Macaca mulatta: one gene and its partner. The protein of the gene in region 1 binds, or shares a complex with, the protein of each later gene. Links are inferred from orthologs where the notes say so. Each region holds a gene or a part of one and is shown on either strand. Other genes may lie near its edges.

Evidence for each region.
Region 2: GTF2F1 (region 1) and POLR2D share a complex: the UniProt entries of both Homo sapiens proteins name them as parts of the TBP-based Pol II pre-initiation complex. The link is inferred for Macaca mulatta from reciprocal best matches to the Homo sapiens genes GTF2F1 and POLR2D.

The regions. Positions count from the first base shown.
Region 1 is NC_133424.1:7,259,735-7,262,314, reverse strand, and holds part of GTF2F1 (general transcription factor IIF subunit 1), read left to right. Parts: intron 1-879; coding exon 880-1,064; intron 1,065-2,493; coding exon 2,494-2,580. UniProt on the Homo sapiens protein: TFIIF is a general transcription initiation factor that binds to RNA polymerase II and helps to recruit it to the initiation complex in collaboration with TFIIB. It promotes transcription elongation.
Region 2 is NC_133417.1:9,426,025-9,429,524, forward strand, and holds part of POLR2D (DNA-directed RNA polymerase II subunit RPB4), read left to right. Parts: intron 1-180; coding exon 181-276; intron 277-2,450; coding exon 2,451-2,529; 3' UTR 2,530-3,500. UniProt on the Homo sapiens protein: Core component of RNA polymerase II (Pol II), a DNA-dependent RNA polymerase which synthesizes mRNA precursors and many functional non-coding RNAs using the four ribonucleoside triphosphates as substrates.

The DNA of each region.
Region 1 (2,580 bases):
TACAGGCACCCACCACCACGCCCGGCTTATTTTTGTAGTTTTCGTAGGGGCGAGGTTTCACCATGTTGTTCAGGCTGGTCTCAAACTCCTGACCTCAGGTGATCCACCTGCCTCGGCCTCCCAAATTTCTGCGATTATAGGCGTGAGCCACTGCACCAAGCCCGGCCTGCAGTCCTGTTTTTTGAAGCTTCCATGAGCAATGAGACAACGTTACATTGTTCCAGTGGAAACAGTAGGTTTTGTCATTAAAGAAAAAGACATCTATAAATTAAGATAACAAGAGATCTGGCCAGGTGCAGTGGCTCATGCCTATAATCCCAGCACTTTGGGAGGCCGAGGCAGGTGGATCACCTGAGGTCAGGAGTTTGAGACCAGCCTGAACAACATGGTGAAACCTCGTCCTTATGAAAACTACAAAAATTAGCTGGGCGTGGTGGTGTGTGCCTGTAGTCCCGGCTACTCAGGAGGCTGAGGCAGGAGAATGGTGTGAACCTGGGAGGCGGAGGTTGCAGTGAGCCAAGATTGCACCATTGCACACCAGCCTGGGCGACAGAGCGAGAGTCTGTCTCAAAAAAAAAAAAAAAAAATAGCAAGAAACCAGTGTGACTGGATTGGGGCCAGACTCTGAGTCCAAGGGAGGTGCTGAGACTCCAGCAGCACGTGGGGACCCTGTCTTTGAGGGACTCGGGGCGGAAAGGGAAGGTAGGAAGGGCCGGTTCTATCCGTGTGGTTTCAGGGAGTCCTGGGCCACAGCCCAAGTCCCCGGGGTCCACATCACATTGAAGGCTGTGTGGGTGGTGCCCTAGGGCTCGCCCCCTGCAAGCGCAGGGGCAGGGTGGTGCCAGGCCCAGCATGAGCCACCCTGTGCCTGGCCCCCAGGAGGAACAAGGTGCTGAACCACTTCAGCATCATGCAGCAGCGGCGGCTCAAGGATCAGGACCAGGATGAGGACGAGGAGGAGAAGGAGAAACGCGGCCGCAGGAAGGCAAGCGAGCTACGCATCCACGACCTGGAGGATGACCTGGAGATGTCGTCTGATGCCAGTGACGCCAGCGGTGAGGAGGGTGAGCACGGGGGCCCGGGCATTAGGCTACAGAGGTACCTGCCCAGGCGGTGCCAGTGAAGGCACAGTCTACCGTCGCTCACAGTGGCCCTAGAATTCGAGGCACCTGGGGCCAGGTGCGGTGGCTCACGCCTGTCGTCCAGCACTTTGAGAGGCTGAGGCAGGCAGATCACCTGAGATCAGGAGTTCGAGACCAGCCTGGCCAACACAGTGAGACCCTGTCTCTACTGAAAACACAAAAATCAGCTGGGCATGGTGGTGCATGCCTCTAGTTCCAGCTACTCGGGAGGCTGATGCAGGAGAATCGCTTGAACCTGGGAGATGGAGGTTGTAGTGAGCCGAGATCGCGCCACTGCACTCCAGGCTGGGCGACAGAGAGGGACTCCGTCTCAGAAAAAAAAGAATGAGAGTCAGGCGAGGCTGCCTGGAGGAGCAGTGATGTCAGTCAAGAGGCAAAGCCAGAGCCCGGGAGAACTGAGCTGTGGCCCTTCTTTCTTTTTTTTTCTTGAGACAGGATCTCTCTCTCTCACCAGGGCTGGAGTGCAGTGGTACAATCACAGCTCACTGCAGCCTTGACCTCCCAGGGTCCAGCAATCCTCCCACCTCAGCCTCCTGAGTAGCTACAGGACTACAGGCATGCACCACCATGCCCGGCTAAGTTTTGTTTTTTTCTTTTGGAGACAGAGTCTTGCCCTGTTGCCCAGGCTGGAATTCAGTGGTGCGATCTCAGCTCACTGCAACCTCTGCCTCCCAGGTTCAAGTGATTCTCCTGCCTCAGCCTCCCAAGTAGCTGGGATTACAGGCATGCGCCACCACGCCTGGCTAATTTTTGTGTTTTTAGCAGAGACGGGGTTTCACCATGTTGGCCAGGCTGGTCTTAAACTCCCGAGCTCAGGTAATCTGCCTGTCTTGGCCTCCCAAAGTGCTGCGATTACAGGTGTGAGCCACAGCACCTGGCCTAATTTTTGTATTTTTTGTAGAGACTGGGGTCTCACTCACTATGTTGCCTAGGATGGTCTGAAAACTCCTGGGCTCAAGCCATCCTCCCGCCTCTGCCTGCCAAAGTGCTGGGATGACAGGCATGAGCCACCGCGCCTGGCCTGGCTGAGGTCTTTACGGGGGTTCCTATGAGAAACTGCAACTCTGGGTTGGCCAGTTTCAATAATTCCTGTGCGCTCTGGGCTGTAGGGGCTGTCCCTGGTTATCAGGTGCCTCGCCTGGGGTGGTCTGGGAGTGGGGAGTGGTCTGTGAGCGTTAGAGAACGTGGGTTGGGGTGTGGGGTCTGGACCAGGAGTTTGTTTAGGAGAGCTGAGCTCCTGGGCTGGCCTTGGTGGGGCAGTCTCCCCAGTCAGTGAGGCCCCCAGGATGTCAAAACTGCACAAAATACCCACTGCCTCCCCCTCCTTTTCCTTCCTTTCCTCCCTTCCCAGGCGGCAGAGCCCCCAAGGCCAAGAAGAAGGTGCCGCTGGCCAAGGGTGGCAGGAAGAAGAAGAAGAAGAAGGGCTCTGACGACGAGG
Region 2 (3,500 bases), on another chromosome or scaffold:
CACCTTGGCCTCTCAGAGTGCTAGAATTAGAGATGCGAGCCATGACACCTGGCCGTCTAGCTATATTTAAATACTGGCTACATTTGATCCCTTTTTTCCTGTTGATTATTCTTTTGATTTTTGTTGTTTCTTTGTTTTTGATTTTTTTGTTTTGATTTTTTTTTTTTTCCTTTTGATTAGCTTGCTACTCCAGAAAAAGCTTCACAAGTTTGAGTTGGCCTGTTTGGCCAACCTTTGCCCAGAGACTGCTGAGGAGTCCAAGGCTCTAATCCCAAGGTTAGTACCAGTTGTGATAAGTTCTCTGTATACTGGATAAATTCCTACAAATAGAATTGGTGTGTCTAAAATGTGTATGCATTATATATTTGGATACATGATTGCCAATATTAAATGAAAGTGCCTTTTTTGTTCAATATTTCAAAGCACGTTTCCTGCTTATTAACAGTGTGTGAGAATGATGGTTTTATACCACACCAAGTGAGAGCAAAAATCTGAAACAGCTGGAACTTCCGTACGCTGATGGTAGGGGTGTGAGTGTTAATTACAACAGTCATTTTGGAGAGCAATTTGGCTGTGTCTGGTAAAGATGAATATACTCCATGTTCCAAATATCCATTCCTGATACATATCTCAAAGGTAACTCACACAAGTTTACAAGGAGACGTATATTCTAGTGTTCATTGCTGCACTGTTTTGTTTCTGCTTTTGTTTTTAGTAGACATGGGGTTTCACCATGTTGGCCAGGCTGGTCTCAAACTTCCGGCCTCAAGTGATCTGCCCACTTTGACCTCCCAAGGTGCTGGGATTACAGGCATGAGCCTCAGTGCCCGGCCTCATGCTGCACTGCTAATGATAGCAGAAATTTGATCATCTCTTAGTCAATAAGAAAGTGGATAAATGAATCGTTGTATAGTCACACAATGTTTATTGTACGGCAGTGAAAACAGTCAGTGAACTAGAACCACGTGGAATATCAACATGTCAGAATGAATTCTGAGGAAAAATGGCAGAAGGATAAACACAGTGTGGTGCCATTTCTTATAAAGTCTGAAACTGTGCTGCATATTACTTACGTATCCATAAATGTGTAGTAAGTATAAAATATGTATGGCAAAACAAATTTTTAAAAAAAGGTATGGCAATGATAAATACTAAATTGAGGATGGTGGTTATTTCTGGGGAAGGAGGGAAGGTATTGGTCTAGGAAAGTAACACAGCCATCCACTTTCCTGCTTATTAAAGAACTCTGGGCCGGGTGCAGTGGCTCATGCCTGTAATCCCAGCACTTTGAGAGGCCAAGGCAGGTGGATCCCAAGGTTAGGAGGTCGAGACCATCCTGGCCAACATGATGTGACTCCATCTCTACTAAAATACAAAATTAGCTGGGCATGGCGGTATGTGCCTGTCGTCCCTGCTACTTGGGAGGCTGAGGTAGGGGAATCACTTGAACCCAGGAGGTGGAGGTTGCAGTGAGCCAAGATTGCGCCACTGCACTCTAGCTTGGCAACAGAGCGACACTCCATCTCAAAAAAAAAGAACTCTGGCCAGGTGTGGTGACTCACTCCTGTCATCCCAGCACTTTGGGAGGTTGATACCATTAGAAAACATGAAGACAGTAAGTGAAAAATGCAGGGCTGGGTGTGGTGGCTCATGCCTGTAATCCTAGCCGTTTGGGAGGCTGAGGCAGGAGGATCACCTGAAGTCAGGAGTTGAAGACCAGCCTGGCCAATGGTGAAACCCCGTCTCTACTAAAAATATAAAAATTAGCTGGGTGAGGACTGGGCGTGGTGGCTTACGCCTGTAATCCCACCACTTTGGGAGGCCTAGGCAGGTGGATCATGAGGTCAGGAGATCAAGACCATCCTGGCTAACACAGTGAAACCCCATCTCTACTAAAAATACAAAAAATTAGCTGGGCATGGTGTCGGGCGCCTGTAGTCCCAACTACTTGGGAGGCTGAGGCAGGAGAATGGTGGGAACCCAGAAGGCGGAGCTTGCAGTGAGCCAAGATTGCGCCACTGCACTCCAGCCTGGGTGACAGAGCAAGACTCCGTCTCAAAAAAAATTAGCTGGGTGTGGTGTCAGGCGCCTGTAATCCCAGGTACTTGGTAGGCTGAGGCAGGAGAATCACTTGAACCCGGGAGGCGGAGGTTTCAGTGAGCCAAGATCATGCCACTTCACTCTAGCCTAGGGGACAAGAGCGAAACTCCGTCTCAAAGGAAAAAAAACCTGTAAGTCAAGTGGGGCTAACTGTACAGGTATATTTTTTATACTTTTTATCTTTTATGCGTTTGAAATATTTTGTAATGTTTTATCAGGAAAAGTGGAAAAGAAATACAGATGAAAGGTGAAGGTGTTAGAGATGTGGGCAGTAGATTAGCACGCCTCAAAGAAGAGCGTGGGGAAATTGCCAGTTGCCAAATCACTCATTTCTTTTCGTTTTCTTGTAGCTTGGAGGGACGGTTTGAAGATGAGGAGCTGCAGCAGATTCTTGATGATATCCAGACAAAGCGCAGCTTTCAGTATTAATCTCCAAACATCGCTGCTGCTCAGAGAAACCGCGTCCGCAGGCGTAACACCACCTTCCCAGGCTCTGGCTGACTTGCATGGAAATGCTGTTGCAGAGGACAGTTGAGAATTCCTTTGGAGAAAACAGCCCGGCTCGGCGTGGGGTTAGGTTGCTGTTTCAAATAACTCATAGGCCCAGGACATGGAATCTTGGAGCAGCCTTGTGCAGTGGCTGCCAGTGGCTTCCTGAACATGCCTCTGGGAAGTGTGAGATGGGGCCACACTACTGACTACCTCATTCATGGTTTTTGGCCTCCACATCATCTTTTTTCTTAATATTTCATGTTTTAATTTCAGTGCGTTTATACTTTTTGAAACTAGACCAGAATATAGTAGACTTTATAGAGAAAGACCAGTTTCACCTAGATGCTAAAGGAAGAATTAAACAACTGTTATTGTTTGAAATCCTTTTCTTTTTCTTTTCTTTTCTTTTAAATGGAGATAGGGTCTTAACTCTTACCCAGGCTGGAGGAGTGTAGTCATACAGTCATGGCTCACTGAAGCCTGGACCCCCCTGCCTCAGCTTCCCAAATAACTGGGGCCAAAGGTGTGCACCACCACTCTCAGCTAGTTTCTAAAATTCTTTATAGAGATGGGGTTTTACTGTGCTGCCTAGACTGGTCTTAAACTCCTGGGCTCAAGTGATCTGCCTGCCGTGGCCTCCCAAACTGATGAGATTAGAGGCATGAGCCACCACATCTGGCCTGAAATTCTGAAGGGATGAGAGTGTCGACAGAGCATGTTGGCATCATTGTGGCTAACCTGGGAGGCGGAAGAAGCATGCCATGGGCAGTGTTGACGAGTATTGTGGAGCTCAGAGTCCCTTGAGGTAGATGGCTACTTTGCCTTTCTTCTTGAACTGTCTTGCAGAATGTGGATTTGGGGTGAGTGGTCTTGAAGGACTCATTTAGTCACCCTCAAATTAAGATTTT